Tribolium castaneum: one gene and its partners. The protein of the gene in region 2 purifies or fractionates together with the protein of the main gene of each other region. This does not show direct contact. Links are inferred from orthologs where the notes say so. Each region holds a gene or a part of one and is shown on either strand. Other genes may lie near its edges.

Region 1 (3,313 bases), on a different chromosome or scaffold from region 2:
GCATCGTCTATGGCATTTTTCACAGCTGAACCGTCCCATTTATTTATTTTAACAGGCTGCAACAATAGGTTATGAAGCCAAATTTACAATTTTTTCCGTATTTAAATAACAAGCGTGCAAATTACGTGTTCATTCATTTAAACTGTACCTTATCATCCTTTTCTTTGCTTTCTTTTGGGGCCATAATCTTAACTGACTGGTTAAATTTTCAATTTTTTATGTGGTGTTGTCGTGTCTTGTTGTTGCGACACGTCAAGTGATGCGTCAGAACACGAAATATGGGAAACGCGAAAATACACCAACATCGGTGAACAAAAGTAACTACGCTTTTTCAAAAGAACGGGTTTTACCAAATATTTTTTTTAAATAACGTTGATTGTTATATCTGCCACTGAAACTGTAAATTCGTTTGGCTATTATTTTTTTCAAGTGGATGATTAATTTAAGTCAGTGAGAGAAAATGCGGGAATTGGGATGGGTATAAGAAAGTTTACGTCAAGTTTATAAAGTAAAGAAATTTATTAATCTTCAAGCATTCCTAATAAATTAATACAATAAATTTGCATTCTTAGGAAATAAAGGCTAAATAACAAAAATTGTAAAGCAAGTGACTTTAGGGTTTTGACTGCTCATCAGAAGGCCCAGCTTCTTCTTCTTCCTTCTTTTTGGCATCAGGTATCCAAAGACCCGCAGCAACACACCTCTTCATGTGATAGTTGGCCTCTTCTTCATCCATTTCCTTGATTGTGTCTTGCAACATTTGGATGTCTTGCGTCTCGAAACATTTTCGTAAATTCTCGGGAAGACTTTCCAAGACTTCAAGCTGATCTAACCCTCCTGGCCCTATCCTCGCTTTCCTCTCCTCCTCCTCTGCTTCTTTTATGGCCTCTTCAATCTTCTCAGCTGCGCGTCGTCTGATCCTCTCCTTAAACTGGTCTAATTCATCGTCAAACGATTTTTTGTAAAGAGGATCAGCTATTTGGATTTTGGAGAAAAAGGGGTCCACGCAGCCGCGAGGGTCGTAGTCTAATTGTTTGGCTAGTTCTAGGATGTACTGCATGCAGATGGTCTGGTGCGCCACGTGCTCCATAAGGTCATGTTTCTAATTAAAAGAACAATACATAATTTACCCCAACAACTCAGTGTTGCCAATATACATTTTTTGCCACAATCTTACCTCTTCCATTTCTAAATTGATGCACCAGATGACGAGGTAATTAGCTGTGTCTTCGCAAACCAATTCAAGGTGGTCCCTGAGAAAAGCCCGAGAGTCTTCATAACGTCGCAACATTCCAAAGTGCTTCAAATTCTTCTCGTTTTCTTTTACAAAATTTTTCATGCGACTTTCCTTCTCTTCATCCGTTAATTGTTCGTCCTTCGGTCTCGGAGCTTTCTTATTAATAACAGTCTTTGCAAAACCTGGCTGACTAATTGTGTCCACATTCCACGGGGCCATCTGTAAATCACTAAATAAACATTAGAAGAACTAACATTCGTACAAACTTTTTCTTTCTTCTCGTGTTCTTCCTGTTTCTTCTTAATCGCTTCCATTTCCTTCTCCAGCGCGGCCAGAGCGTCCTTAAGTTCCCTCAAATTCGCATCTCCGGCCTTCTCGGCTTCCGCCAGCTTCTGCTTGGCTTGCGAGACCTTCTTAGCATTTTCCTCCCTCTTTATCTGGATTTCTTCCGCTTCTTTCTTCATTTCTTCCATGCGCTCAACTCTGGCCTGGTGCCTCCACCGGAAAAGTGAAGGGGTGTCAATATTTGGATGCGTCTCATCCTCATCGTCGGAAATCTGCAAAGCACCACCTAACCTCATTTTTTCCTCCCAGACTTCACTACCTCAATATTCTTCCACTTGCTGTAATCGACCATGACGCCAATGCGAATTTTGATTCCTCCAAGAAAATACAACAATAAAACACTTGCACTTTTGAAATAAACAACAAACGTCACTTTGCTGCTCCTCCGCCCTCTGGCTGGCTTTCGCGAAACGTCGGCAGAGGATCATGGGTAGGGAGACGAGGGCAAATAAAATTCCAGAATATTCTTTCAATCATAATCTAATACTTTAACTTTAAAAACATTGACACGATTAATCTTAAAAATTACTGATATGAAATAAAACATGACAGCATAGTTGGCAATGAAAAAGTACGGTTCGGTTTGTAACAATTGTAACCATGACTACCACCAAAATGCCATATCAAAGTTTCATGGCCAACCGCTCCCTGAAATTTTCGATTAATTACTAATAAATTAGCACATTGATTCGGTCAACTCCAATTTTAACTTGATATTGTCGTTCGATTTAGTAATAAATGGAGAACGTTTTGTGGAACGGCAACTTCTTCTCCACGATTTCCTTGTTATGTTCGCGTCTGAAGTCCCACAAGAAGTGATCGATCAAAATGGCATTGATTTTCGTATCAGTTAGTTTTTTATTGGCATGTTCTTTTAGCAGCTCGACCGCATGGATGGAGCAAGCTCTGATCTCCACTTCGTCCTCTTCCCCGTTTTCGAGAATTTTGTTGTCTTGCAGTTTCTTCTTCAAATCTTCGCTGTACTCAAACACCCCGAAATATAGGAGAGATTGTGGGATTCTATAATCCGCAAACATTGTTATTTCATCGATATCTTTAAAGTGCCCAAGTCCTTCGTTCTTGAAACAGGCCCAAATGTCGCCAATTAAAATCTGCGCCCGCTTGTAAATCGCAATTTTCTTGTCTTTGTAAGTCGCTTCGTCCTTGAAGCACTTGAAATTGTTGACGATTAGGTCCAGAAGGGCCACAGCGCTCTTGTCAGCCTTTTTCACGCAATTTTCAAACGAACCGTCGAAAGTTTCAAGAAGGACGTTCCCAACTTCGTGCAAGCATTTGACGCGTTCCTGGAGGAGTGGAATTGGGACATCGTTGTCGCTTCTGAATATTTTCGCAAGGTCTTTTTCGGACACTTCAGAGTAGTATTTCGAGTTCAAAATATCCACTTTTTCCTTCACGGCTCGATTAATAGCCGCACAAAGGGCAAAATAACCAGTGTAGCCCTCCACAGTCCAGCCAGCTTCGGTTTCTAAGTGCCAGAAGCAAAAATTCAGAGTGTCCACGACAAATAACCAGTCAAGGGCTTTGGGATCGTCGGATTTTGGGTGCAGTTTCACTTGACTGAACTTCTCACTGGACAATTTCCCGCTTTCGATCTCGCTAACCAACTGGAGATAACAGTTAAAATGTGCCTTTTTTCGCCTGATACGCACGGACTTACCAAATCCCCCAGTTTTTTCACACCTTCGTCTTTGATTTTCACGTTTTTGCTAA
Region 2 (2,962 bases):
GTACTCTACGTAAGCGGGCCAGAGTTTCAGCAAAAAAAAGAAGTTTCTAGCTTAATCCAGAAGGAAAATATGACGATGTAAATTTTAAGCTTTTCAAAAATTTTCGTAAAAACGTCTTTTTCAGTATAATTCATTTTAAGAGTTTTACAAGTTAACGATTCATATTTTCGAGTTAAAACAAAAGCCACTTTATTCCTGACAGTCCATTACAGGGAGGGCCAATAGTAGTTCATTTTCTCTTTAAGACTCTATATCAAAGGGAAATAATGTTCAAAAAACACCAAATTTTTGTCAATTTTCAGGTTTTTTTTCTGAATTAAATAAAGCACTGACAGCATTTAAAACAGTTTCTCTCCTATAGCCAGAGTAGAAGAATATATAACTTTCAAAAACGTTACTAAGAAGGGCTGTAAAACAGCGAGGAAAATAGATGAAATTCGACGCTTTTTAGAGTAGGTATTCTCCCCCTTAACAACGCATAACTTTTTTTAATAACTGAATTCTTATTTACTAAAAAATAATTTATTTACAAAAAAATTAGAAAAACAATCGTTTAGATAGCGACCCTCCCTCCACCGCATCCAGCAGCTTCCTCTTCAAAGTAGGCCTTTCCACTTCAGTTTTTCTGATGTTTTGAGGCAACGGCAACTTGGATCCCGGCGTCGGCGCCGGTTTATTACTGAAAAACGGCATCGCCAAACACTTGCTGCACTCGAACCGCTTCAACGGATTCAACACCAAAAGCCCCTCCAAGACATCAAGCAGATCATCACCGGCGGCTGTGAAAATATTCTTCAACGGAATCGGCGTAAACGGCTTAAATTCGACGTAATCGGACAAACTCTTCAGCCCCGGCCAATTCTCCTCGGTCGGATTTCCAAAAACTGCGAAAATTTTGGTCAGCTGGTCCAGGTCCGACTCGCCAGGAAACAAGGGCACTCGCAGGAGGAGCTCCGCGAGGATGCACCCCACAGCCCACATGTCCACCCCCGTGCTGTACAACTTTGCCCCGAAGAGCAGCTCGGGGCACCTGTACCACCTGGTGACCACCTGGTGCGTGTTGATGCGGTTTGGGGAGCCGTAGAGCTTCGCAAGCCCGAAATCGCCGATTTTGAGCACGCCGTTGGAGTTCACCAGAAGGTTGTTGGGCTTGAGGTCCCGGTGAAGGACCCAGTTTCGGTGCAAGTAGTCCAGCCCTTGCAGCGTTTGAATAATGTAGGCTTTTATGTTGCCAGTTGTTAAAATAATCGTGTTGTCTTTTATTATAACTTCCAAATCCGTGTCCATGAAATCAAACACAAGGGACACGTTGGACATGTGTCCGAAGACGTCCAAGAGGCCGATTACGTTGCGGTGGTGCAGTTCTTGTAAGAGTTTGATTTCGCGAAGGGCTGTTCGGTTGATGCCGTCTTGGGCCTCTTGACGACTCCCCATTTTGATTTTTTTCACTGCGACGATGTTGTCGGTCTCTACATCGCGGGCTTTGTACACCGTGGCGAATTGGCCCTCGCCCAGAAACTCGATTTTTTCGTAACGGGTTAGTTTATTCGACATTTTTATCACATTATTTTGAAAATTGCCGGTTTGAGGTTATGAGGGGTTGAAAGCCAAAGCTACCAACCTTCGGAATTTCGAGGGTTCAAAAATGAGAAATTTTAAATAAATACAATGATCAAACAAACAAAGAATGAAGTTGCAGTGGAAGTTTTCAAACAGGAATGAAAAAGTCGGATAACTAAGTAATTAAAAATGAATTTGATAAAAAAAATTAATTTGGTATGCAACCACATATACAGCACCATAATTGTGGTCAACCTACTATTAATAACTGTTCTTTTTTTAGAAAGTAAATCGGTAACAAAAATGTGTAATAGAAAAGAATTACGTCTAATTTGAACCTTTTTTGACTATTTCGTGTAAAATATCAATATTAATATGCTTGTTTCTGACAAAAAAACTATAGAAAACCCAACAATGAGAGTCTGTTTAAACAACATTTTTTTTTATTAAGAAACATTCTTAAATACACAAAGCAAAACCACGTAATGTGCAACATTTCATCTTATTTTAAAAAAATTTGCTTTCTAAAAAGCTAGATTTGTGTTTAAAGCGGTTTCGCTGCTTTAAACTCTCAAATATTATTAATTTTTTTAAATTTATGGGCCGGTTTATAAAAGGCTCTGTTAAAATTGAATTCGTTGTTAAAAGTTAACAACGCGAATGAACCAACCAAATGACTTCAATTTGGTCACGTAATCAGTTAATCACGCATTTTATAACTGATTAAATTAATGACGTTTTTATAAACCGGTCCTATGATTAGTTATGATAATTAAACTAGTTTACAAAAAATTTTTTCTTTTACCAAGAAATAATTTATACTGATTTTGTTTTCTTCTCACTCACTAATAACGTAATAACTAAAATATATCTCACATTTGTCTATCACGTCTTGTTTTTTTAATATATTCACTAAAAGTTTTGAAAATATATTCGTTGTTTCTGTGATAAACTAATAGTTAAACATTGTATTTGCTTTAAAATATCGTCAAGTAAATGTAGATTAAGCCCAAACAACTTTTGTTTTTTTGTGGTAAAATTATCTTAGTAAAACCTGAAAAACTTAAAGGCAAGAAATAAGAATTTCTCAGTTTCGAATGTAAAGGGAAAAATGTTTAGGAATGCAACCCCTTAATTATTTCTAACTAAGTGTAAAGAAGAATTTAGAACTTGCTCTACTGAAAACTGCTAACCAATCTTCATAACATATAATTGTTGTTTTCTTCGATAAATAAGTTTTTTACAGTAGAGGCTTCCTTTTTCATGAGAATTTTTGTATGAAAAGCTGATTTTTGTTCATTAGTTAATGTGGCATTATTAGCGGTGTAGTTAGAAAAAACAGTTCTAAGGAACAAAGTTGTGGTGAATTATCTTCTACGATTCAGGTATTATTTAATTTTCC
Region 3 (4,060 bases), about 17 Mb from region 2:
GGCCTGGCCAACGTCATAGTGAACGAAGACATGATCACAGGATGGAAGTTCAAAATCTTGGGGTACATATCTAGAGGGGATAGGGTTCCAGAGGTTATAACCACGGTTTGAAACCGATCAAAAACCGGTTTTATGGCAATCGACGAATCCAAACAACTGAAATGTAAGATCGGGTTTGACACCGTCGGTGTCTTATCATCAAACGGTTCTACGATTATCGTAAAACCTTTCGTATAAGTGGCCACCAAAGTGGCCAAATGTGTGACTAAAATGACCGGACTGAAGTCGGTCAAGTCTGATATTTCCAAAGTTCTCAACAGAGATGCCAAGCGTTCAGCACAGAAACGTAACGGTTTTCGTTCAATACAGACTTTGGATTGGACGTCTTTTAAAAATCCAGCAGGGCTTTCTTGCACCACGTGCTGGACTCGCAGCCGAGTTTTGAGGTATTCGAGGAAACGTTTCAGGAAACTGACAAAGTGCTCGGCGTTGCGAATATTTCCAGGGACGGCCTCTGAAAATTAATAAATTACGCAATTTAATTTTTTTTCGAATTACTGACATAATAAATAACAATCAGCCCAAAAAATTAATTCGGAAATGGCAATATTTTTGCCTCTGTCTAGCATTTAAGTGCATTTTTGAGCTACAAAATTCTTCTCAAAGCATTACTAAACCAGGCGGACAAATCACAAAATATCATCGAAAATGCGATTATTTTTGCATTTTCCGAGCATTTTGTATGGTTGTTTTAGCCTGAAGTTCAATGATTTCGAATAATGCCCTCAAAAATAAGACAAAAAATAAGCAAATAAGTTTACTTTTGAGAGATTTCAGCAGAAAAAAGATTCTTATTTAATCGAAAATGACATTATTTTTTGCTTTTTTCATGTGTTTTTATTTAGAAACAGTTATTTCGTTGAAGATTGTTTCGTTGAAAAATATTCGACTGAATTAGGTCAACCAAATTTGGCTTTACCGAGTGTTTACCAGGTTTATGAGAAAAAAACAAGGTTTTCCTCCAAAAAAATTCGTTGAAAAAAGGATGAAAATCCAGGAAAATATATCGCAATTGATGCTACCTATTTTATTTATTTATTGTCAGGTCAGGTCAGGTCAGATCTGTTTAGTTTTTTAACTTTGTTAAACATGTTTAAAAATTATACACAAATCGAAAATTATACTATTGAGTTTGTTTCATTCGAATGACCTCGTTTTCGAGTGAAATTTTGCTAAAAATAAGTTAAAAATTATCAAACTTTGAAAACAGTGTTATTTTTTAAATTCTCAAGCTGTTAAGTACAAAGTTTTTTGGCTAAAAATCACTAAATTTCTTCATTTTTGTCAACGCATTAAGCTGTGTCTATATCACTCAGTGTTGCCAACTTAATTTCAACGTCACGGAATATATAAATCTAATTCGGGTATTACCCTGGAGGATGGCGTCGGGCAAGACCGGATTGGCCAAAATGACGTCAGTGTCTCGCGCCACGCTAGCGTCGCGCAGCCCCTCAACTAATCTCTGATATTCTTCTTGCAATTTTTTGTGATCGTCTTCACGCATCCTAAAAAATTTTAAAAAATCCAGAGAAAACTTAAACTTCCGGGGATTTACTCGGCCACAGTACGTTCCAATAACTGGATGTTGGCGGAAGCTCGATCGATAATTCGTTTGTTGATTTTCACACTCATTGAGTCGATGCAAACATTATCGATATTGTGAGCCTCATCGAAAATAACAACTGACTCTCGTGTCAGCTCTTTGGAGACGACTTCGGCGATCTTGGGGTCTAGTAAATAGTGGTAACTGTAGACTACGATATTCGCGTAACTTATCTAGGAAAAAGGGTCAGAAGTGCAATGTAAAGTGTGACCTCAAGTACCACAAAACGAGACAGGAAATAGGGGCACCAGTTGCGGTCCCGTCCGTACTGTTTCAAATCATCTATACTGTAAACCCCAAACGGCATCGTACTTTCTTTGCCATCCAAAGCGAAACCTTCGTAATACTGACAAATGGGAGTTGTATCATCGTAATTGTGCCTCTCCCTTATGTAACTCGCCGTTAGTGCGTGGCATTTTCCGTCCACAATCTTACCCTCGCGCTCAGTACTCACCTGAAATTTGCAAAATCAAGCCCGGTTATGCACCCCCAAATCACCTACTTCCGGGTGAATACATAGATTCTTCCGTGAGGACAAAACCAGCCCCAGGAGATGGGGGTACTCCCCGTCCAACTTCTCATAATACTCGAGCAGTTTTTTCAATTCTTCCATAACTTTCTCGATTTCGGGGACAGTACGAGAGCAGTAGATCAACTTGCGGACGTCATGGGGGTGCTCGAGCATGTATGCAACAACGAGGGAGAGAATGGTGGTGGTCTTACCCGTCCCTGAGGGCATTTCCAAAAGGCAGTGGCCCTAAAATTAACATAAAAAAGGGGCTGTGAAAGGCGGGGAGCGTACTTTGGCGTCCAGGGCCCGCTTGAGCTCGCACATGTAGGCATACTGCTCGGGGTAGATGTAGTCATAGGGGAAGTACACGATTAAGCCATCGACGTTTAGTCTAAAATTTTCGGTTTTGAGGCAACTCAAGTGCCAATAGTCGGGTTCTTACTTCATTTTTTGTATGGTGCTGGGTGAAACCGTGGTGTTTACATTGACCCGGTAGTTTTTTTAGGTTATGGCATGTTTGGAAAAAAGTGCGGTTATGCAATTTTTTGTAATATTTTCTAACAATAGGAACGTTTCTATTGCTGCTAATCGATTAGTAAGGAAGAAGGGGGCCTAAAAATTTAAGTCCTGTGAGCTGGAACCACGTATTCTATCAGTTATTCAAAGATTCTATAATAAGTAGGGTTATGTAATGTATTCAAGTATTCAAGAAGAAAACACCTTTTTATTTGGAAAATATTTATTAAAAACTTTATTGAATAAATTAATGGTTTTGTACAACACAAAATCAATCACACTTTGTCTTTCACGATAATTTTATCACCATTTTGCATTGAGTAAACTCCGATTTCTTTCATTTCATCCTCTAGAAGAATCTCGATTTCTGGATCGCTCTTGCTGGCGTAAATCAAGTGGGGCCTTCCACTCAAGCTGAACATTTTCTGTGTGAGGACTATAAGTTTTTGCACAGTCATTGTGAGAGGCACTTTCTTTTCTACCGTAAAGTCCTCAAAAACTATACTTAATTGGACCAACGTATTTTTAATAATTTTCGGTTTTGAGACAAGTTCACTCTCTTCCAGCTCGCCATATTCTGCAAAAATAACCGTAAAAACGTAACAAAAAAAATATAAACAGACTTTGTATCAATTCCAAATATCTGTTGTGGGTTTTGAGAAAATCAGCCTCTTTGTTGGTACCCTTGGCGTCCAACCATTCAAGACCGTACTTTTTCATGTAGTCGTATTCAGCCCCCCGTCTCTCAGTGGCTTCAATCTCAACCCCATTTAAAATTTTCAAGTTGGCAATTTTTGCGATTATTATTTGATGGATAGTGTCAGGTTCTTCCGATTCTGTGATGGGGTTTTTGGAAAATCGCAGATTTTCTAAACTTTCAAGCCGATTTAACTCAGCCACAGAACGCCACTAAAATCAATCCTCTCATGAACGGAAACGAACAAAGTTTCAGTCTTACCTCACGGATCAAGTTTTTCACAACACATAATTTTTTCATCGCTCTGAAAGCTTGTACTTTGGGGGAATCACCCTCAAACTCAATCAACTGGAGCCCAATATTCTCCAGAATAAGTTGCTCCAAGTGCGGTAAATCCCCCAATTTGCAGACCTCCGTCCAAAACTCAATGTTATTCCCTTCAAGATCGAGCAACTTTAATTTGGTGAAAAACCCCTCAGGTGTGCTAAGCCCCCGGATTTTGTTATTCGGAGCTCTGAACTCTTCAACTGACGGGAAAATGCGTCCAAGTTGGCAAATGTGCCCCCAGTCCAAGTCCATACACCCACAAATCAGAGTTGTCACGTTTGGAAAACTCTCACTAATCGTTGGCAAGTCCAGCAAATTCTCACTAACATTCAGCCAAAAAAGCCTC

Evidence for each region. The genes of interacting proteins can lie anywhere in the genome.
Region 1: the proteins of Cdk7 (region 2) and Cdc37 purify together in Homo sapiens (affinity purification with mass spectrometry; 3 studies listed by BioGRID and IntAct, counting the BioPlex papers as one, with this or other methods). This does not show direct contact. The link is inferred for Tribolium castaneum from reciprocal best matches to the Homo sapiens genes CDK7 and CDC37.
Region 3: the proteins of Cdk7 (region 2) and Xpd purify together in Homo sapiens (affinity purification with mass spectrometry; 10 studies listed by BioGRID and IntAct, counting the BioPlex papers as one, with this or other methods). This does not show direct contact. The link is inferred for Tribolium castaneum from reciprocal best matches to the Homo sapiens genes CDK7 and ERCC2.

What each region holds. Positions count from the first base shown.
Region 1 is NC_087398.1:2,272,901-2,276,213, reverse strand, and holds Cdc37 (hsp90 co-chaperone Cdc37), read right to left. Parts: upstream 2,002-3,313; 5' UTR 1,875-2,001; coding exon 1,842-1,874; intron 1,795-1,841; coding exon 1,504-1,794; intron 1,457-1,503; coding exon 1,178-1,456; intron 1,103-1,177; coding exon 614-1,102; 3' UTR 501-613; downstream 1-500. Other genes in the region: Spase25 (signal peptidase complex subunit 2), read right to left, coding at 1-56, 149-184; queuosine 5'-phosphate N-glycosylase/hydrolase, read right to left, coding at 2,311-3,207, 3,261-3,313. UniProt on the Homo sapiens protein: Co-chaperone that binds to numerous kinases and promotes their interaction with the Hsp90 complex, resulting in stabilization and promotion of their activity. Inhibits HSP90AA1 ATPase activity.
Region 2 is NC_087394.1:10,696,180-10,699,141, forward strand, and holds Cdk7 (cyclin-dependent kinase 7), read right to left. Parts: upstream 1,743-2,962; 5' UTR 1,555-1,742; coding exon 538-1,554; 3' UTR 501-537; downstream 1-500. UniProt on the Homo sapiens protein: Serine/threonine kinase involved in cell cycle control and in RNA polymerase II-mediated RNA transcription. Cyclin-dependent kinases (CDKs) are activated by the binding to a cyclin and mediate the progression through the cell cycle.
Region 3 is NC_087394.1:27,625,936-27,629,995, reverse strand, and holds the start of Xpd (general transcription and DNA repair factor IIH helicase subunit XPD), read right to left. Parts: upstream 2,801-4,060; 5' UTR 2,622-2,800; coding exon 2,617-2,621; intron 2,566-2,616; coding exon 2,466-2,565; intron 2,421-2,465; coding exon 2,166-2,420; intron 2,118-2,165; coding exon 1,884-2,117; intron 1,837-1,883; coding exon 1,616-1,836; intron 1,566-1,615; coding exon 1,432-1,565; intron 515-1,431; coding exon 1-514. Other genes in the region: Tbce (tubulin-specific chaperone E), read right to left, coding at 2,966-3,267, 3,314-3,599, 3,649-4,060. UniProt on the Homo sapiens protein: ATP-dependent 5'-3' DNA helicase. Component of the general transcription and DNA repair factor IIH (TFIIH) core complex, not absolutely essential for minimal transcription in vitro.